Linked DNA regions of Drosophila melanogaster. Changing the gene in region 3 together with the main gene of any one other region gives a genetic interaction. Each region holds a gene or a part of one and is shown on either strand. Other genes may lie near its edges.

What was found.
Region 1: of puc (region 3) and vg, changing one suppresses a phenotype caused by changing the other (phenotypic suppression), as found in Drosophila melanogaster (one study listed by BioGRID).
Region 2: of puc (region 3) and Daxx, changing one suppresses a phenotype caused by changing the other (phenotypic suppression), as found in Drosophila melanogaster (one study listed by BioGRID).
Region 4: of puc (region 3) and Atg9, changing one suppresses a phenotype caused by changing the other (phenotypic suppression), as found in Drosophila melanogaster (one study listed by BioGRID).

Annotation. Positions count from the first base shown.
Region 1 is NT_033778.4:12,882,619-12,887,245, forward strand, and holds the start of vg (vestigial), read left to right. Parts: upstream 1-1,582; 5' UTR 1,583-2,693; intron 2,694-3,750; 5' UTR 3,751-4,526; coding exon 4,527-4,622; intron 4,623-4,627. Other genes in the region: AspRS (Aspartyl-tRNA synthetase), read left to right, coding at 124-287. UniProt on the Drosophila melanogaster protein: Involved in determining which thoracic imaginal disk cells will form wings and halteres, perhaps by interacting with other nuclear regulatory proteins.
Region 2 is NT_033779.5:6,479,067-6,486,973, forward strand, and holds the start of Daxx (Daxx-like protein), read left to right. Parts: upstream 1-1,862; 5' UTR 1,863-2,133; coding exon 2,134-2,184; intron 2,185-2,916; coding exon 2,917-7,045; intron 7,046-7,105; coding exon 7,106-7,286; intron 7,287-7,424; coding exon 7,425-7,907. Other genes in the region: Sec61alpha (Sec61 alpha subunit), read right to left, coding at 968-1,035, 1,258-1,264. UniProt on the Drosophila melanogaster protein: Transcription regulator. Acts as a histone chaperone that facilitates deposition of histone H3.3. Has a role in chromatin remodeling together with asf1 and XNP. Has role in the transcriptional apoptotic response to oxidative and UV stress.
Region 3 is NT_033777.3:8,103,386-8,108,343, reverse strand, and holds the start of puc (puckered), read right to left. Parts: upstream 3,013-4,958; 5' UTR 2,484-3,012; coding exon 2,249-2,483; intron 1,857-2,248; exon of another isoform or gene 1,605-1,856; intron 113-1,604; coding exon 1-112.
Region 4 is NT_033778.4:16,292,665-16,297,776, reverse strand, and holds Atg9 (Autophagy-related 9), read right to left. Parts: upstream 3,378-5,112; 5' UTR 3,257-3,377; coding exon 719-3,256; coding exon of another isoform or gene 698-718; 3' UTR 545-697; downstream 1-544. Other genes in the region: CG7747 (uncharacterized protein), read left to right, coding at 3,743-3,774, 3,834-4,788, 4,843-4,994, 5,053-5,112.

The DNA.
Region 1 (4,627 bases), on a different chromosome or scaffold from region 3:
GAGAATAATATAAATGCATAGCTCAAGTGCTTATATAAGACTGTAACCCATTTCAGATAAGAAGTTGAAACTTATCTACTCTATTAATACTTAATATTAACGCCGTATATATTTGTTTTCTAGATACCTCCAAGATTGCGGCGTACATCGAGTCCTTCCGCTATGGATGTCCTCCACATGCTGGTGGTGGCATTGGAATGGAGCGTGTGGTGATGCTGTATCTGGGATTGGACAACATCCGCAAGACTTCCATGTTCCCGCGCGATCCCAAACGATTAACGCCTTAAGCACGATAGACTCAAACAACGTACTCTTTAGATTTGAATACAATTCGATGAAACAATTGTTTTACTTTCCCTGTGACTTTCCAAGCATTCAGTTCTTTTTATTTTTACGCCAAACCCAATCGTGAGTGTTTTATCCTTCTTCTCAAGACTAACATGCTGCAAAGTTGTTAAACAACGAGAAAAATGTACGGGAAGACTGCCTAGAGTCAAATTTATTTGGAAACTCGTAAGAAATAAATACTTGCGCGTATGTTTTGTACTTTAATAATTGCTTTTAATATTTTGGTTGGTTATTTTTAAGTGGGTAAAATATATAAGCTAACGTGTAGCTAGAATATTATATTTTTGTTGCATACTTTTAGGGTCTGTAGAAAGGCCACATTTGTTCTCATAGCTTATCAATATGCACCTGGTCAAAGAGTTTTCTTAATGTTTTATTCAAAAGGTTGAAACCAGACCAATTTTATTAAAAGCCTTAAGTAAAAACAGTTCACTACTTTTGATTTGTCTAATTGGATTGTAGTATAAGAGATTAATATTCTCATCATTTTCAAAATAAATAAAAGATATTATTATTATCTGGCATTAGAATTTAGAAATTTAGTTTTTGATGCAGGCTGTGTAATAACCATTATAGTTTTCTTGGTGACCATCTATAAGACTGACTACCTTAACTACTTTGAGAATCCCTTAAATAATCACCGCTCGAAGTCCCGTCGGCCATGTCTTCTTTATCTGGAAACTTCTTTCTCAGGTTAAACTCCCACATAAACATGGTTTTTTTTCTAGCTTTCTCCGTAGTTATAGAAGTTTCCCACAACATTTTATGCAACATTGCTTAAACAACTTTCTGCGTATTAAAACAAATTTCGATATTTAGCCAAATCGGTATAACCAGTAATCAAATCATATTAGCTGTCACTAAAACCAAACTTTGTGTTCCGACTTTCCTGGAATTTGTAAATGAAAACATAAGTTTAGATCCTATATGCTCTGTAGTAGGGCTATTTTCCATGCCGACTTGATGTATTCCATTTTTATATTATCCACAGATTTTTCAGCTTTTTTTACACGTTCCTATCAGAAATCTAACAATTAAAGGTGTAGTAGACCGTCTTTCACTTATAAGCATCCACACCTTGTCAACAATCCGCGGCGAAATGAAGGCGAATGAACAGCACAATAAATTGTATTCATTTGCAATCAGATTATTATCAATACGGAAACTTCGCGGTTGAGGAGGGCTTGGGGCTTGGAAGGGGACTGGAAAACAAGGATTGCGGGGGCACTGCAAACACTGTTGACACAGTTGGCGCATACTTTTCATTGCGGAAAGGCAAGGAAAGGAACAAAAGGACGAAGTAGAAGGCCCCGGATGAATGCGAATTCCTTTCAATCTGTTTGTCGAACTTTAAAATCAGAGAGAAACAGCAGGAGTTTCGTCTACTTGAGGACACAATTGAGACGCACTCCATTTTATTTTCACACCGATGTGGCATCGTTAGTTGGAAACCTGGAAACAACAATACAACGCTGAATGCGGCAGCAATCAAGTGGGCGGTGCTTGGCAACTGCAGCACACTAGTTGTCCCGCTCCCACCGCGGTCCAATGACTGCCGTGCGAGAGAGATGGCCCGATACAAGAAATTGCCATTTTGTTTTCAATGCCGCGGCGACTGCGCTGCCGTCGCGCTGCCCGCAAATGCATTGGATTTACCGCTCCTTTTGCCAGTTTGTTTTTTCTCTTCCGATTGAGCGGCAGCCGGAGCTCTCCGTGTTTTTCTCTCACCGCCGCGCGGGATTTTCGATTTCGGATTTTCGATTTCAGCGTAAACGAGAATATCGTAAAATTAAAACGAAACAAAACCAAAATCCTAGTGAGTGATCGCGGCAAGTGCAGTTCATTTGTTTTCCAAGTGCCACATCGCAAAGCAGAATAATAATTATAGAAATAGAGATTTCCGCGGATGCTGCAATTGCCAAAATAGTGCCGTTCTCCATCTCATTTTCGCTCGCTGGCTATCGCCCTCTCTCTCACTCGCTCTCGCACAATCGGGCCGCCAAGAATTTATGGAATTCGGCATTTTGTGGATTTAGCGAAAATATTTTCATTGAGTGCGCCGACCAAATGTTTGCTGCTCGTTTTCGGTTAAAAATAATCGCAGAAGCCGCTGCGCCAAAATCTCAAGAATTCACGTGCGAATTCCCCAGCGCGTATCACTTTAATTACTATTCAAATTAACAACAACAACAAAACGATCAAACGAAAATTAAGTCAAGTTTTACCTTGTCAAGAGATGTGAAATTGTTGAATATTTTGCAAAAAGTGCACTGTAACGAGAATTGAGTTGATTTACGCAAGCAACACTGAACATCTTATTGGATTACACTAAAAACATTCAAGTGGTAAGTGCGGGTTCGATAAATGAAATGTCAAATTGGACCGCAGTCGTTTTCCTTCTGGTGTCATTATAATTATCATAATTTGCCTAATTTATCGATTTGCATTTAATTTTATTATGCATATTAGGCTAAACGTCTGAAATTGATGTTTGTACCTTACATCATAAGGTTAATTTATTAATTCCACTTAATTGGTTATATTGTTCCTATACTTTTTAATTGAATTGTAAAAAGGTACAACGTGAAAAGCTCTGAACAGTTAAGGATTAAAAAAAGGTTGTTAAATAGCTTAAGTTTTTTGTAACGGGAACATTATGGAGCTATAGTTATTTTCCAATTAAATTGGGATAATATGTAATAGCAGTAGTAGAAGCACAGATATAATTTATAGGATTATTCATTAAATTACGAATATTTTTTGTGACAGATAGCTTTTAAAATGTAAATTTTGTGTTTTCATGTCCCGACGGAGGTTTATTTAAAAATGATTCCTATTGCCGTCGGACCTTAGCTATATTTTCATTTCAATAGCTTTTACTGTGTTCAATGCAATAGTTTGTTCAACGTTTGGCATTCGCTGCTGCTGTTATTGTATCAATCAATAGTTGCAACGATTATTTATTTCCATTCTACAAAAAAGCTTAGCATATTAATTTGCGACCTAATTCAAGATATTTCTAAAAGCTAAAGCCAAGAATTAAAGAATTAACTTCAAAGACTTTTAAAGTAATTCCTTATTTTCCGACGGATATCTTTAACAAGTTTTAATTCACTTCGTCTATAAAACCGTTTATGTGCCAGTTTATTGGTTTTTATTTTGATCATAATTACTTTAGCTGTGAAAGCATTCGTTTGTGGTTTTCTATAGCCATTTTGAAACTTGATGATGCTTTGTTTACATGCAATTGCTTTTCAACAGACATTTACGGTTCAAATAGTCACATCATTAAAGTCGGTTTTAACATAAATGCCAGAAATTGGCTCATCAGCTTTGAATTTCTTACCACAATTAGCAAATTGTTAATGCCTTCTCCTGCACTTTTCTCCATTTTCCTTCCAGTTGGCAATTCTTCGTCGGAAACGCGGATGAGAAACGAAATTGACGTTCCAACGCCAAAGGGAAAAAAAAACTGAAAAAATAGAAAACAACGACTAACAGCAATCAACAATGTGGAAATGATAATTGCAATTGCCTGCACAAGCAAACAAAGAAGAAAGAAGCAAGTGAAGAAAGTCGAAGAGCGACGAGGGGAGGAAACTGAGTCGAAAAGAAAAGGAAATTACCCACGAACGGGAATGGCAAATGCATAGAAAGAAGTTTGCGAAAAACAACAAAAAACGTAAACAAAAAACAGACAAAAAGCAATTATAGCTGCTGATACAAACGCGATGGTGTTTTACAATATGTAAATATAATTAGCCGAGCGGAGTTTTCATTCCAGGAATTTTGCCAGCCAACAAAAGAAATAAATACTACAACTGCTGCAGAAAAAATACAACAAAAACAACAAAACACGCCTTGACTTGAAAGCCGGTTTTATAATTACTCCAAGTTTTAGCCCCCTTCCCTCCCCGCGCGCTCTCTATCTATATATCTATCTCCCTCTCTTCAGAGAGAGCATTCAATTTCAAACCCCCGATACGATTACGAATCCAATTGGAACCACGCGTATTGGCATCACAATTCCCTCCCCGCTCAAGTGACAATACCAATTTAACTACCATCCATCGCTAAACCGCAAAAGCAGTGAGCCAGTGTGAGTGCCAGTGCCAGTGCCAGTGTGTGTGTGGCAGTGAGTGGCAGTTGCAGTTGCAAGTGCGCTTGCCACTGCGACAATGGCAGTGTCCTGCCCCGAAGTTATGTACGGTGCCTACTATCCATATCTGTACGGGCGCGCTGGAACAAGTCGATCGTTCTACCAGTATGAGAGGGTGAG
Region 2 (7,907 bases), on a different chromosome or scaffold from region 3:
AAATAAAAAGAACCAACAATTGCGAATGAGTCATATTGCAGTGTAAAAAAGTGTGGAGATATATAAACAATGCATAGAAGTAAAGGAATCTTTGATATTTCCAAACATATAAAAATACTACATTATTATTATTTTATTTTAAATAAACGGCTTAAGATCAAGCCCGCTTTACCCTTGAAACTAAGCTGCACAAATAATGCTACCGCTATGTTGACCTACATGGCCGCTTTCCCATGTGTGTACGTGTGTCAATTGTTTAAACAAAATCTGGTAAACTTCATTTGGCCGTAGTCGTCGTCATCGCTCATCACCTGCGAGCAACAAAAACAAACGAAGCTGACGTCGACAGCGCTTCGTGCGAGCCGAAGTTTGACATTTCCATTTCCACGTAGCGTTTGTTTGTCAGTGGCGAGAGAGTGGTGTGTGTCTGTGTGCGTGTGTGAGTGTTAAATGAGAGTATGGCAACAAGTAGCCAGGTGATAAGAAAACTAGCAGCAGCAGTGAGGTGGAAATACTGAGATTTATGAATGAAAAGGCCCACGAAACATATAAAAACTCAAAAATATGTGCACTTCAAGTGGTGTACGATATAGTAATAAATAAAACTAAAGTTGGGCATAATTATTTTCATGAATTAAATGGACACAAAAGGCGTGTTTTCCTATTTCGACACATAAAAAACTCAGTTTGTTCTATATCAGGGTGGTTCGGCTGCCGTTTGCCCACTACCAAATGAAGAGCAAACTGTTTGCGTGGCGATGTTCACTTTTTTGACAAGTGAAAGCAACCACAAAACGCGTGGGCTGGCAACACTGGCAGAGAGCAAAGCGAGATTCGCTCGGAAAAACACACGTATAAGACGAGAAAAGCCGCAAATTGTTGGGAAAATTCGAACATTACATGGTACAGCAGCAATTGGGATAACTAGCTACACTTTGATTACATCTAATTACGGTTTTATACACACCTTGCGCTCCGGTTTTGCGATTTCCGGCAGTATACTGCAGAACGGTTTGATAACTTCCAGGAACTTGACTGCAAATAGTGAATTAAGGCAACCGAATTAGTTACGTTTCTCAGGCCATTTTTAATTAATTGCGATTTTCGGACACAACGAGCGGCGCACGCCGAATCTTTTTTGTATACGTAAGCAATGAGCGACAAGGGTGCGAGCGGCATTGCAAGGGCGGCACTTCACACAAAAACCGCTGCACTCCCCGATTTTGGGGAAGATGTCTGGCGATGACGGTTACTTACTTCCCATTTTGCCGGACTTGTGTTGCTAGTCTGGGCACTGAGTGGGTGGCTTGGTTATTGCACTTTCTACGCGAACAGTAGAAAGTCTCACTTTTCACTGCACAGCGAACGCCTCAAATTTCAAAAACCGAATGAACGAAGCGAACGAATTGACGACGTCGACGTGTCATTCAGTGTGGCCGTTGGTGAAACGTCAAAATAAACCGTCGTGTCACTTGGCGACGACCGGTCACACTGGCACTGTTAAGCATTAAAATTTGAAGTTGAGCCATGGGAAAATCTATATTTTTGGGCTGTACTGCAAAGCTGCCTAAAGATTATGTTCCGATAATTAAATACATAAACTAGCAAGAAGATCTAACAATTATATTTTTGGTGGAATTCACGTTACCTATCCAGAGGGTTATTTATGGTTTCTTTTTTGTCTAAGATGGGCCAACATATTTAGCTTTTGACATGTACACATTTGGTTTCAGGCATTATAGGGTTAATAAAAAGGAGTTTCGATATTTAGTTGTGTGTCCATCGCTGGCACCGGCTGGCACCTAGCGACCGATACTATCGTGGCAGCCAGCGATGTTTTAGCAGCTCCAAGACTCTCCAATTTGACAATTCTGAGGCATGAGTACAAACAAACACTCACGCAGTGCACTCTGTTGGCGAGCGTAATAAATATGTGGGAAAATTCCCACATATATACAGTATTCAGTGCTAGTGCCGAGAACTCGCAACGAACCCGGTCGCGTCGTTCACATATGTGTGAAAAAGTAGCTGACAACAACGGTGGCAAGTCCAAATGCGAAGAAAAGCCAGTAAATCGCGCGGCGAGTAAAGTGAATAAATTCGGTGCAGACCATTGCCGTTTCGGGGCGAATAATGTCTGCGTCTGTGATATGCGTCGATTTGAGCTCGGAGTCTGATGAGGAGGTAATATCCCGATTTCCCAGCGGACTCGTCAGTGCGTGTGTGTGTGAAAAAGTACAGTTGGTTTTAAATAGGCTCGCTGCATGAGTATGTGTGCGTGTTACACATAGTGTGGAATTAAATTTTTTTCGCGCTGCTTTTTTATTGAGAACGAGCAGACACGAACGTGCAGTGCCCCACTCATACAGTTGCAAAACGGTGACAGTGCTGCCAGACCGAGCGATTGGAGACCTGGCGAGTCTTGCAGTTGCACTGGCGAATATCGGACTTTAATTACGTTAGGCGTGGAAATGAGCGAGTGAGAGGGTGCGGTGAGTCTCCGCTCCTGGAGAGTGTTTGGTTAAGACGCAATTCGCCTGGTAAAGTTTGGAAAGTCGTCTCCGCTGATACGGCACTAAATCAAATTAACTCTCCAAAGCGCGCGCACGCAACTCTCCAAAGCTCTCGCACACACCGACGAACGCACACCTATACACTGACGCTTTTCGTTTGTTTATATTTTCATTCAAATTTAAAATACATCTGAGAGCGACCAACAGGTCGCCTGCAGTTTGGAACTATTATAAATGTTGCTAATTATAAAACGCGCTTCAAAGACGATGCACTTGTGATAAAAACAACAAACATTATGTATACTTATAAGTAAACTTTGGTCTTATTGTCAGAGGCAGTGTAGTCTCATCTTATTACCAATTGAACATAACTTGTAATATAAGTTTCAAATTATATTTGCAGTCGCCGGCCAAACGACGACGACTCGAGGATCCGCTGCGACTACTAACGCCATCCGGTAGGCAAAGTTTTCCTGCCAAACTTCTGAACATACCAAAGGCCTCCCTGGGATCCGCGATGGTAGTGCCTGTTGCGGAAACAGGACCTGCAAGGGAGACTCCGGTCATAGTGGATCCACTCCGGTCCATGCACATCCCCAGTGGAATCACCATCACTAAGCACCAGAAGAACGTCCTCGCCACAAACGGAAACATGAACCTTTCTCTGGCAGAGAGCAACAACAACAACAACACTACCAGCTTGAACAAAAATGTGACCCCGAAGCAGATCAATGTTGGCACCGGCCAGAAAGTGGCCTGGTCGGTGAGCAGCAAGGCGCCCAGTCCGAATGCCGTGATAACCACCGTGCCCAGCCACCAGGTGAGGGTGACGCCGTTTAATCCGATTCGACTCGCACCCGGGTCAAAAATAATACCGGCTTCGAATGCGATGCCTGCAAAGATTCAACCCATTCTTGGGATGGGTCAGCCTCAGCAACAGGCACAAGCCCAGCAACCGAAGGCCATCATAGTGGGTTTTCCGAAGCCCAATACTGCAGTGGCTCAAATGGCGCAACACCAAAAACCTCTAACGCTTCAAATACACCAGAAATTAATTGCAGGACAGCAGCAGCATATAGCTTCTATTAGCCAATTGCAGCAGGTATCGTTGCAGCAGCAACAGCCACTTAGACCCGTGAGCATTCAATTGCAGCAGCAACAGAACCAACGGAATGGCTCATTGCCTGGAAAGCAACAGAAGCCACTGGAATGCCCAGTGCCTGCGCAGCAAGAGAAGCTACCACGTGGGCCGTTGCCTACGAAGCCAGCCGAGCCACTGAGTGGCCCATTGCCTACGGAGCCAGACGAGCCACTGGGTGGCCCATTGCCTACGCGGCCAAAACCACCGGTGAGATCACTACAACAGCCAGTTAACAAGAATACGGCGATTGGAGTACAGATACAGCAATCACAGGAGCCACTGGGTGGCACATTACCTACGCGCCAGAAACCACTTGGAGGTCAATTGCTAACGCAGCAAAAACCACCGGTGGGATCGATACAACAGTCTGTTAAACAGAATACGGGGATTGGAGTACAGATTCAGCAAATACCAAAGGTTGTCGTGGGACAACAGCCACAGAAGGTGTACCTGAATAAACTACAACAGGAGCAACAGAAGATTTTTCTGGGGCACCTGCAACAGCAGCAACAGAAGACGTTCCTAGGGCAACTGCAACAGGAACAGCAGAAGATCCTGGGGCAACTACAGCAGCAGAAACAACAACAACAGCAGCAACAGAAAAAGATCCTGGGGCAATCACAACAGCAAAAGGTGCCGTTGGGGCAACCGCAACCTCAGCAGAAACTACCGCAGCAACTGAACAATTCACTGGTGCAACTACAACAGCAACATCAACAAAGAACATCAGTGGGGCAACTCCAACAACAGCAGCCACATCAATCACAGCAGAAAAATTCAATGGTGCACGTAAAACAGCAACCACAACAGCAAAAGAAGATTTCAGTGGGGCAATTCCAGCAGCAACCACAACAGCAACAGAAGACTTCAGTGGCGCAGCTGCAACAGCAACCACAACAGCAACAGAAGATTTCAGTGGGGCAACTTCAACAGCAATCACAGCAGCAACAGAAGCCTTCAGTGGGGCAGCTGCAACAGCAATCACAGCAGCAACAGACGCCTTTAGTGGGGCAGCTGCAACGGCAAACTCAACAGCAACAGAAGACTTCAGCGGGGCAATTCCAACAGCAACCACAACAGCAACAGAAGATTTCAGCGGGGCAACTCCAAGAGCATTCACAACAACAACAGAAGACTTTAGCGGGGCAACTCCAACAGCAAGCACAACAGCAGCTAAATACTTCCGCGGGGCAGCTCCAACAGCAGCAAAAACCACCAAAAGCGTCCTTAGCGCAACAGGCAGCAGCTCAAAAGCAAGGAGCGGGCCTAGGACAACAGCAACAATTTCAATCCCAGCCCCAGCAGAGAACAAGTGCTGGACTTCTTCAACAGCAACAGATGCCACAGAAGAAAATCGTGATGCAACCGCAGCTTCCGAAAACATCGGTGGTCCTGCCGCGCCCACAACAGCTCCCGAAAAATCCTTTGCTGGTGGCCCAACAGCAATCACCAAAGACACCACTGGTAAACTCCGTAATGGGCCCACAGTTTCCATCACAGCAACCATCGCTTCCCGTTGTCAATCAAATTACGCACAAATCGATGACTATTCAGAGACTTCCCATGTTGCAGACGGTGCAAAAAATTCTGCCAAAACAGATAGCTCCGCAGCAGACGCCACCACCCGCTCATATAGTACAAAAGCAAACAATGCCAAACGCGGCCATGCAAAATCCTCCGTTCGCGCACCGTCCACCGATAGTGCGACCCATGACGGTAGCCAAGATCTCGCCGGTGCCTACAAACAACAAAGTCTGCATCCCGATGAAGCCGCAGATGGCTAGTTATGTCAGTCCCACAGACCCAACAATGACTGCAGCCCGTACTTTGCCCTTTAGAAGCTCACAGCGCAAGACATCTGAAGCACCAATGACTTCGACGCATGTCCAGGGATTCACTGCGAGTGCCACACCTCCACAGCGTCTTCTGGCCACTCCACCGCATTGTGCCGCGGCCTTGAATGAGCCGCTATTGCTAAACTTGCCGCCCACCACTAGCATTACGCCGCAACTGACGCCTACGACAACTCCACCGCCCGCTGGACCATCGGCAGCAGTTCAGCAACAGCAGCTGGCCAAGGCGGCAGCCATTAAATTGAATTCCTTGCCCGAAGCGAGCATTTCTCCAGTGAACAGGTCTCCAACTGCAAGCGCCAAGCGCATCCAGCCGATTACCGTGCTCAAGAAATCCGACGAGGAATGGCAAAGGCATCTCGAGCAACAGCAGCAAAAGAAGCACGTACAATTGCAGTCGTCCTCGATGACCACAATTGTTCTAGTCGAATCACCGCCCACTACTCCGCCCACGGATAAGCCGGAGCCGGAGCGCGGGCCAATGACCGTGGAAAAATCGTCGATCAAACCGATGGCAACAGATAAACAATCCAGGGCAATAAAAAGGCCTGCAGTGATGATTTCCACGAAAAAATCCGGTTTAGTTGTCACAGAAATAGTGGATTTAGATGAAATACCGGATATCCCGCCAGAAAAGCGCGGGAAAGAATGTTTTCCTCCAATTAAGAATGCAGCCAAGGCAGCACCATCAGTGAATGCCCCTTTTACAACTGAGTACGCGGCACTTCTTCGTCTTTGCCGCGAGGTGGACAAATCGACTCACATGGAACGCCTTGTAAAGGGAGAATTGACCCAGTATTACTACAGTGCGCCCGAAAGCTTCGTGATGTCATGTGGCTTTCGCAACCTGGTTACAATGGCTATGGCGAGGATCCGAAGCGAATCGTACCTGGTGTACGTGCACCTAAAGTACGTGTTAGATGAGTTAGCATCGCGGAGGCTGACCAAAATGTTTCCCACAGTACGAGCAATTCCGCCAGCTAGCCAGTTCCCACTTCCACCAGCTAGCCAGTTCCCACTTCCACCCACATTGACCACACCCAAGCAGCCAGCGATAGTAAAAGCGCCGGGGCAGCAGACTGTGATGGCGGGAAGAGAGCAGGATGATGAAGTAGAAGAGGTGACATTGGTGAATGTCGGGACCGTTTCTTGCGAAGAAAGGCGTAGGGATGAGCGGATACGCCACTTTTATCGCACGCTGCATGCTATTACTAAGCGAATAAAGATGTTGGAGGAAGCTGAAGTGGACTTGAACGACGAGGACTCCAGTTATCTTCAGTTGGAGCGCTTCAAAAAGCGTGCCTGCCAAATCTATGAAAAAATCTGTGATCTAAAGGGCGAGAGCAAGAGTGTCCGTAGACAGCTAAAGAAGCCCATACACTTCAAGGATTCGGACTATCCACACTTCAATAACTCGCTCTCGGCTTTTGTGAACAGGATGCAAGATTTTCCCGATTACCACGATGTGCTTCAAATACTGGAAAAGTGCAACAAGGAAAAGGAACTTGGACTAGCCAAGTACGAGATGAAGAGAATCGGTACGTCATGGTCTTCAAGTATCAAAATCAATATTGAGCACACATTTTATTGTTTTGCAGCCTACGATGCCTTTAACAAAGTCGGTCGAATGCTGCAATCGCGCCGAAAGAATGATCTTTACGAAACTGTCACACATTACACGGCAAATGGCAAAGATCCAGCGTCCAGTGATCCCGAGCTGCTAGCCAAGCTCAAGGAAAACAACAAAAAGCAAACCAAAATAAGTGATATCTTAGAAAAGTGAGCTCAAATCGAGAATTTCAGAACTGCGCTGTTCAAAAGAGTTTTCACTTGTTATTTATCGGAAATATCTAGAACAGCGCAGTGCTCTGAACTTAAAACAGAGTTCCAATCTAATATTTGGATTATTTATTCTAGGTATGCCCTCGAGCAAGATCTCAATGCGGAGGAGCGTCAGGAGGCGCGGCTTAAGGAGAAAAAGTTGAAGCAGGTTAAAGCGGACGAGGAGGCCGCCAAGCTGGCTGCTTTGGCGGAAGACGACGACAAGCCCTGTACAAGTGCTCAGGCAGCAGCTAAGGCGGCCGCTCTCGCCGCTTTAAAAAGGGGTCCAGCAGCTCGTGGAAATGTGATTCGAAAAAAGCGTGCCGCTAATGGACGGATTTTCAAAATCGCCGATGACGGAGATGACTCGGAGGAGGAATCGGACTCGGAGGACGACGATGTTGAGGAATTTGTCAATAACTTTCAAGCCAACAGTGATGTGAGTGATGCCGACTCCGAAGTGGAAGCAGTAACATCACCAAAGAGAGATGCTTTGCCGCTCGCCGAGGAGGAGGATGTGATAGATATAACGAGAGACGAGACTGGCAAAAAGAATGACGAAGGCACGCCCAACGGCAG
Region 3 (4,958 bases):
GCCGGCGTCCGTCCGCCGCCGTTCATTGCCGTTGATGATGACGTCGTCGATGTCACTTCGTCACATGCCAGATTCTCCCTGGACCGCTTGTTGGGATAGTCCTTCTGATTGGCTGCCGAGGGAAGGAGACGAAGACCAGAAAATACGCATTAATGCGGTGATTTAAAAACTGATTTTAATTGGCGGTTAGCGATTTGCTTAATTTTATAACCCATGATGTCAGCACGGACCGTGTATGGACCGCAGTGCGAAAAACTTGTCGCGCCAGGTTCCCCGTTCAAAAAAACCGCAAAAATATTTCGTTTCGATTGCCGCCTGCCAAAACTGACGTAAGACATTTATTTCGGCTCTAGAGTTTTTTTTTCTTCTTTTTCGCCTGATTACGAGCGAATGCAAAGCCAAAGTTTTCCACATTCGCTCGCAGCTCACAAGTCGCTTATCACAGTGAGCAGGCATAATTAGAGAACGCTTTGTAAGCTAGCCCGATACCAATTTGATAGTATATTATAGTAAAACACAATCCAGATTATTCATTTATAGGTAAGTCTGAACAAAAGCTGTCAATAACAAATAGTTGAAAACTTTTTTAGTACGGCAATCTTGGGTTTTTAATGCTGGTATATTTATGTTCTTAGCATCATTCTGATTTCTTCGAATATTATTAAAATTAATCTTGTAGTAAATATTTGTTTTTAAAAACTTCAAGTACGATTTTCCCCCTACACTAAACTTTAATTTTAAGCCATGTTCCTTGATTGAAGGGTATCATTTCAGCCGTCCGTCAAAAGAAAAAACTTGATAAGATAACCAATGCTACAGTTTGTATTATGTTTTCAAAGTGGTCTTAGGAGTTCGGACTGTGCTGACTTGATCAAATCGACTTTATCAGCCTTGCCAGAAAGTATAGTCTCTTTTATGCTGAAAAGCAAAACAACTTCGAGCAAACTACTGGGGTACAAAATTGCTGTTATCAGCCAAGCGACCTCAAAAGCCAAAAAACAACACAGAAAAAAGCAACAGCCTCAAAAAAAGTACAACCAACTTTTCACCGCGGCAGGAAACGTTGGTTATGTTTTTTTTTTGTCGCTGTTGTTGTTGTTTGCGGCTAGTAAAACAAGTAAAATCGCATGCCAATAGTGCATTGCAAACCTCCAGGGGCGTCTGGGTCTGGAGTGTGTGGGTTTCGAAGGGGGCCTATGGTGTGGGAAACGGGGGGAGTGGTGTGAAGTAGAGTAGAAAATAGGAAAGTGCTAATTAGTATACAGTGGCTTGTTTACTTTTGGAAATGAGCTATGCATCAGCTTTCTGTTCACTATTTTGTCCAACTTTTGGGTTGCGATTCGCCATTATGTTTACTGTTATTAGTAATTCGCTGTTTATTGTCTAAAAAAAACTTGGCAACAAGGTAGTAAATCTTTCACTTTAAGATGATATTAATTTTAAGTGATTTATAAAGCGATTGTAATGCTTCAACTTATATTATATTTAATAAATTTCAACTATTCTGTAAATGTTTTGGAACTTTGACTCAACGAGGGCACCCCTTTTTAGTTTCGCCCCTGGCCCTTGCAACTAACCCTTCCTGCTCTTCCGCTCTTTCTTACCGACTCCCAACTTCAGTTTTGAGTTGTTGCCGCGGCTGTTGCTTTTTCTCCTTCTGCTCCCCTTTTGGCCTCCTCCTTCGCACGCTTCTCCCTTCTTCTGTTGTTGTTGTGCCGATGAATTCGTACTCGAAAGGTCGTTTCAAAGCGGGTTTTTCAGCGTTGCCAGGCCGCTTGAGAAACCTGCTTTGCTTTACATTTTTTCTGTTGTTTTATTTTTTTTATTTGTACTCGTATTTTGTTGGACTGACTGATTTTTTTTTTCATTTATCCAGCCAACAGAAACGAATCGAAACGCTTCTTTTGCTTTTATTTTTGAAAGACACGCGAATTGTGAGTCACGTATGGAGCGAAAAAAAGTAACTGACTCTGAGTCTGATCTCTCTCGAGTTCGTTTCTTTTTGCTTGTTTTTGCTTTTGTAGAAATGAAATGGAGACGCTTACGTGTGCTCCCCCTCTCTTTCGCGCCCCAGCAAAAGTAAACAGCATGCCGAGCGGTAAAAATCAAGAGAGCAAGAGAGAGGGATTAATACGTTCTCCCTGTCCCGCTCTTTTGATTGGTTTGAGTGTAATCTTAAATTGTACGATTTTTCTTATTGCTTATTTCTGTTGATTTGATTCTTTTTTTCGCTTCTTTTTGTACTTACCACCAATGCGATTGTTGTTGTTGGTATTTTGGATTGGCATAAATAACAGAAGACACGGCGCTTCTCGCTTTATCCGCATTTTCATTTCACTTTGTATATGACTCACGCTGTCGCCGTCTCCGTCGCACTCACAGCGTCCGTTGTGGCTGTTGTTGTTGCGTGCTGTTGACGTTGCCGTTGTAGTGTTGTTGCTATTATTGTTGCTGCTGCTCTGCGTTTCTCGATTCACACACATATGCACGCGCTCACACTACACACATACACATGGGGGCCTTTGGTTGTTTTAAAATTGATATATGTATATTTTATTTGTTGCTTTCTGCCCGTATAATAATCTATATTATTTAAGTATGATTTTCGGTAGGAGGGCTTTATTAGATAATCCCCGAGCCACTTGTTGAGCCACTTCCCGTTATAAAGTGTGTTGCAACCAAAAGTCGGGGGCCCAGAAATCGAGTTTTATTTCCACTTGTAGCACGCACACTTATTTTTAATTCATTAATCGAAAAACGCGCGGGTTGTAGATCTCGTTTTTATATTTTATTTTAGTATTAATTGTTTGCTTCCTCTTCTCACGATTCGTGTTAAAATTATTGTATCCAATGATAAATGTTTTTACCAGAAATATTCTAGTTTTAATTTCCTACTGTTTTCGCGCGGAGCTTAGTTATTTTTCGAACTCGTTGTGCAAAGATGTAGACACAACCGTTCGAAGCGGTATTCAAAAGGCGAATGAATGACCGAATGAATGAGCGCAAGACGAATGAACGGGCGCAAAACAAATTTGATAACCGAATTTGATAAAGACGCGATTAGTGTGACCAGAGGCTACTACAGTTAAAAAAGGCTAACAAGCTGAAACTTTACTCTACGCTCACCAAATTCACCAACACTGAAGACTTTGCGGTTGAATTTGAAATTAAAGTATATATAATAGCCACAATTGTTGACAAATGAAGTTAAAATAAGCTATTACATACTTTGACCTATGATCATAATACAATTTTTATTTATTTATTTTTTATTTATTACACGTTAAAGGTTAATTATTTTCGAAACATGCTGACATTTGACTTTGTATAATTGCTTTTGACATGCTGTATATATACTAATTTTCTTTTATCTCGGGCTCAAACCTTTTGTTAGTTTATATTGATGAATTCCATTTATTCATTATAATTTTTATGAATATAGCAATGCTCGTTATAAACCTCTTTAAATTCTTCGTTGTCAAAACATTTTATTTGTCACTACAGAGATGCGCTCATGTCTACCCAAGTGCCTCAGCAAACCAATCCCAACCAAACCCGTCAAACCCCACCTGAATCTCCGCAACCCAGTAACATGGAACAAATGTTTGCTCGCTTCGAAGGAATGGTCGAAAGGATGATGGAGAAGATGTTCTCGCAAATGACGCAGCTTGTTGCTTCCATCCTCAACGCAAAAGTATGCAAAGCCTAAAAATAGTTATTTGGAATGCTAACGGCCTGCAGAGGAGCAGAGCCGAGGTGGAACACCTCCTAAAAACAGATGCCATCGATGTACTACTGGTATCAGAAACCCACTTTTGTCCCAGATCCCATTTTAGCATTAGCGGCTACGATGTCATCCCTGCCAACCATCCATCTGGCAGAGCGCGCGGAGGAGCAGCCATGCTCATCAGGAGTGGCATCCAGTACACGGAGCTACCTGCGTTTCAGGAGGAATGGGCCCAGTGTGCCCTGGCCAGAATCTCCAGCCTACATGGAGACATCACCGTTGGAGCGGTCTACTTCCCACCTAGACACTCGATCACCGAGACTCACCTACAAGATTTTTTTGAGTCCTTTGGACCTCGCTTTATAGCAGCTGGTGACTTCAACGCCAAACACTCCTGGTGGGGGTCCCGCTCCATCAACCCCAAAGGCAGAACGCTCCACAGATTCCTGCAGAGCAGAAGACTGGATTGCCACTCCTCTGGTGAGCCTACCCACTGGCCTTCAAACCCTTCCTTGCTGCCCGACCTCCTGGATTTTGCTATCTCCAAAGGCATAGGGCAAGACAGACTAACTTGCTCCAACTATAACAAGCTGATATCCGACCACAGCGCTATAAAAATGCTTCTCAACATCCCCGTCCTCAAAAAAGAGTTGCCCAGAAGACTCACCGGGAAGCACACTGATGCCTCCAAGTTCACACTCTGGATGCTGTCCTCCCTGCACCCGGATCCTCCACTCTCCACTCCAAGCAACATCGATGCGGCAATCAAAACTCTCACGGATGAGATGTACAATGCTGCTGAGTTTGCCAATCCTCCTCCTTCAACGTCCCCAAGAACTCCCGGTAGAGACCTTCACCTCTGGTCTCCAGAAATTGCGGCCTTCGTAGCGGAAAAAAGGCGCCTCAGGAGAATCTGGTTCTTCTCGCGCAACCCAAGGGACAAGGCAGCACTCAACAGAGCCATCAAGGAACTCAAGGACAAGCTGTGTACCCTACGGCAAGACTCCTTCGACAGATTCCTTGAGGAGCTGGAACCTGGTGACCCGCAACATAATCTGTGGCAAGTCACGCGTCATATCAGGAGGCCTGCAAAGAAGGCGTCGCCGGTGCGCAAAGCGGACGGCTCTTGGTGCCGCTCTGAAGCCGAAAGAGCTGAAGCGTTTGCAGATCACCTCCAGAATGCATTCTCACCATTTGACAGATGCACTGGCGAAGAGCGTGCTGCAACCAC
Region 4 (5,112 bases), on a different chromosome or scaffold from region 3:
GATTCATAGGCACGCACTTGGTCGGTCCACTCTGTGCGCCCCGATCTCCTCCAGTCTTTGGTCTCTGCTCGCCGCATTGGCCATCAACACCAATCGCCAAATGGCGTTCGTGTGTGGCAAGTGACACACGAGGCGCTGCAGCACAGCTGGATGCGTTCTCCTCAGCCACTCGCATCTGGATCTCTGGACCAGGTGGATGTGGTGTGCCAACAATGCCTACAAATGGGGACCATCCATCAGTGCTGATGGAGCTGGCATTCCCACATCCCGGAGAGCTAAGATCGGGATAAGCCGTAAAGACATTAAATATAATCTTCACAATGAAAATGGATTTTTTTTATGGTGTCTCCTTTCAGTTGTTGTACACAGGATACACAACGGATAATGCTTAGGATTTACAAGCCATTATAATCAAACCAGGTAAATAGTTTATACATATATATATATGTAAATATGGGTAATGGGTAATCACAACTACTACACACTAATAGATTTAGTTATTATCTAGCGAAATTTCCTTTGAAATAATAAAGCTGATCAATTTGATAATGCATTTATGTTTATTGCTTCTCGTTTAGTTTAGCTTAGTTTCAGATTAGTTTAGCTACGCACTAGACGACGTCGTTCGTTCGTTTACACTTTAAAATTTAGGTTAATCACTAATAGCAGAATGGGTGGTCCTTAGCTCTACAGGTGGTTAGATCCACTCTGGCCGCTGCTATGAGCGGATGCTACCCAAAAGCGGCGTGCTCTCGGCAGCCTTTGAGGTAATCACGGTATGGCGGGAGCCGAAGCCAGTATCAGCCGACGGAGCAGCTGGTGGTCGCGGTGGCCAATGGCTCGTACCAGGACGCTCGTCCTCGGCCTCGTCGATGCGAGACTGGCGCGCTTGGCGCTTCTGCTGGTTCAGCTCGTGCAAATAGAGGGCACTGAGGCACATGTCGGCCACGCCCACATTCAAGGGAGTGCTGCCCACGCGCGGGTCCACACCACAGAGTCCGTAGAGCAGTGTATCCGTCGGACCCTCCAAGCGGCCTTCAGCCCGGCTGAGGCGCAATCGGCGCATGCTGTCCAGCGGGCCGACACTGGCGGACAGATTCTGCTGCAACATCTGGCGGAAGTCGCTGGCTGCGACGGGGAATCCTCCAGATACCGGTCCTAGACCCGGACGCAACGACTGCGAAATCTCCAGTTGCTGGGGCGTCACCTGTGCGGTCAGCACAGAGTTCGCAATGGAACAATAATCCGCTCCCATGGTGCCAAATGAGATGAGGCTGTTGGTCAGCGGGTTCTCCTGCACCATCGACGTCTTGGCCTGGACTAGTTCACCAACGGCGTGCTCTCTAACGCCGCGCAGGAACTGCTTGGCCTCCTTGGGCATCTGCCACTCGGGATTGTTCAGGGTGAAGCGAAGAAGCGACATCTCCGTTTTGCCGCCGGCCAAACTTTGCTGCTGTGGCTCCTGCTGCGGCTGTTGAGCTGTAGCCCGGGTCATCTCCTCCAGTTCGCTGGTTAACTGCCAGTCGGGATTGCCATGCTTGCGAACATCCATCTGGGCAAAGGAGCATACGTTGCCCACTCCTCGCACGGATACGGTGAACGTCCTGAAGAAACGCACCAGCTCTATGGCCTTTGGCCTGAACACAAAGATCAGCACGAAGGGTGTGACGAAGGGACTGAAGATTTCGCTGAGTAGGTAGCCAGCCTTAAACTGAAAGAAGTTGCTAAACTCCTGGCGAACCTTTGTCGTGTGCGCCTGCTGCCGCCACTCGGAGGGCAGGTAGTGAACGTGCGCCAGAATGGCGGTCATTAGCTGCTCTGGGCACCAAACGAGATTCTCATCCGGTATTAGAGTTCTGCAGACCACACCTATGGCGCCGAGCCCTGCAAGGATGGCAAGCAAATGCTCCACCTGGAAGACGTGTTCCTCGTAAATGCCCAATGCAAGGATTAGAAGTAGTAGTCCTCCACTGATAAAGAGTAGGTTTTTGGCTATCACAGCGGCCAGTGGCGAGGAAAAGGAGTTGAGATAGCGGTCCGCGTAGTCATATGCCCGATTCAGCCTGGCATCTAGTTCGTGGTCCAGTTCATTAAAGTGGCGCAGGTAGAGGCGGCCGTAATTGGACCATGTACGCAGGCCAAGGGCACCAGGCTCCTTACGAAGAATGTTCGCATAGGAGAAACTGAAGTAGATAAGTTGCCATACGAAGATCACAGGCGCTAGGACCAAATTTAACAACGCCACCCCCAATATCAGTTTGGAGAGTCGCTGCGCCAGCTCCGTTTGATTGCTTCTTACCGCAAACTCATCACGCAGCTGCCAATTGTTCTGGAAGGGAGATCCAGGGCCGCGAAACAAGATGAAGTCAATGTTGAACAACATACCTCTACTCAGCGAGACCACTTCGCCATACAGCGGTATGTGGAACCTTACAGGCAGCAGTTGCTTGTTCATCAGTGCCACTAGGTAGTTCTTGAAGCGCAGAACTCGGTGATAGATGTCCAATTCCGTAAGCGACTCCTTGTCGATGCACATATGCTGTTCGGCCTGGACGCGACGAATCCGCTGTTGCACCTCGTGCCACGTAAAGTTGTCCAGATCCGAATCCTCGATATGAAGCGCAGAGTTGTAGAATCTCTTTATATCGGCGTACTGGGTAATATGGTACACCATTTTCAGAAGCCTTATGCCCAAATAGATAGCGGCTATGAACACAACCAGGTACGTGACCCAAGTGAAGTTGGCTAAGCACTCGCCTGTGGGGTACATCACATCGGATAAAGTTGTCTTGTTGGGGTTAAGTCCCCCTGGAGGGGTGTCCCCAAAGAGCACGTCAAATCGGACGCAGTGCATCACAAAGGCAAGTAGCCAGACGACGAAACCAAACTCCAGAACCTGTAGCATTTCGTCCACTACAATCACTGTGAATCCGTGCTTCTGCTGGTACTGATACATTCGCGAGAAGAACGAGTCAAGGTCCTCGATGTGGTTCCACCGCGCACGCCCCGTCTCCGGAACCATGTGGATCATGACGCCACTGTTTCGAGGCGTGTCCTCGCCCTCATGCTCGGTGTCGTGCTCATCCAGCGGCTGCTCCAGCCCGTGTTCACCGAGGGGGTCTAAATGCGCAGCAGCTGCGTTCGCTTTTGCGTCTTGTGTTTTGGATGGGCCTTGGCCTGTGGAGGGATGGTGCTCCAGGAACGGACTGGCCGCCTCCTCGGCCAGGGAGCGGTAGTTGATATGTGGGCTAGACATCGCCCAACGTCAAGGTCAACCGTTCTGACTATTTATATCGCTGTATAGTATAAGTTGGAAAATTCTTTGTTGTTTGATTCTGCTGAACCTTCTCAGCAAACAGCTGACTCTCCTAAGAGAAGTGTTGGCCAACGTCAAAATACTGGGTAATGAATAAGTAAGGCGAACCTCTTGCAGCGCCCAATGTGCAGTGTTCACACTGCCAGGGCATCTCTAAATAACACACATTGGAGAATCAAAGGTATCTTATAAAATTAATACTTATAAATAATTAAATTTGCATTTTTCTTGTTATTTGTTTTTATATTCGTTTTTAACTTTTTGAAATACTCGATACTTTTGTTTATGGTACCCGAAGTGTGAACAGCCTAGATATCCATCAACATAAATCTGCACAGAGTTGGCAGTTCTCTCCCGCATTTGTAAACAAACTATTTGTAGCTCTTACTTTATTGCAAATTTAATTTAAAAAAACAAACAGCCAAGATGGGTAAAAGGCAGCATCAAAAGGACAAAATGTAAGTATTTAGCACATCCAGCGAGTTATGGAAATGAAGACTACCCATTGCTTTAACAGGTACCTCACGTACACGGAGTGGAGTGAGCTGTATGGCGGCAAAAAAGTGGAATCCTTGGAGAACGACCATGTCAAGTTCAAGCGGCTGCCATTCGAGCACTGCTGCATTACGATGGCGCCCTACGAGATGCCCTACTGCGATCTACAGGGCAATGTGTTCGAGTACGAGGCCATTCTTAAGTTTCTCAAGACCTTTAAGGTGAACCCCATCACCGGGCAGAAGATGGACTCCAAGTCATTGGTGAAGCTGAACTTCCACAGGAATGCAAACGATGAGTACCACTGCCCCGCCTTGTTCAAGCCCTTCAGCAAGAACTCGCACATCGTGGCGGTGGCCACAACTGGAAATGTATACTGCTGGGAGGCAATCGACCAGCTGAACATTAAGACAAAGAACTGGAAGGATCTGGTGGATGACACGCCATTCCAGCGTAAGGATATCATCACAATACAAGATCCTCAGAAGCTGGAAAAGTACGACATCTCGACCTTCTATCATATTAAGAAGAATCTACGAGTCCTGACGGAAGAAGAGCAGCAAGAGAGAAAGAATCCAGCCAGCGGCCGCATTAAGACCATGAATCTGGAGACCAAGGAGACGCTGGAACAGCTGCAGCAGGACTATCAGCCAGCGGAAGAGGAGGCCTCCACTTCGAAGCGTACAGCTGACAAGTTCAACGCAGCTCACTATTCAACTGGAGCGGTGGCGGCCAGTTTTACGTCTACCGCCATGGTGCCCGTTTCCCAAATAGAGGCGGCTATCATAGATGATGATTTGGTCAAGTACGAGCGGGTAAAAAAGAAGGGCTACGTTCGTTTAAATACGAACCTTGGCCCTCTCAACCTGGAGCTCTTCTGCGATCAAACTCCTCGAGCCTGCGATAACTTCATCAAGCATTGCGCCAATGGTTACTACAATAATGTTATGTTTCACCGGTCCATAAGGAATTTTATTGTAAGTACGATCTCTTTTGAGAGAAACTTTAATTTACTATGGTTTTATCCACAGGTGCAAGGTGGTGATCCCACTGGAAGTGGTTCTGGTGGCGAGTCCATTTGGGGCAAGAAGTTTGAGGACGAGTTTAAGCCGAATCTTACGCACACGGGCCGAGGAGTGCTATCAATGGCCAATTCGGGACCCAACACCAATGGCTCTCAGTTGTAAGTACCACAAAGTGACATTTTTTCAATGCTTTTGCAAGTATACGCTGTTTCGTAGCTTTATCACCTATCGCTCTTGCAAACATCTCGACGGCAAACACACCATCTTTGGAAAGCT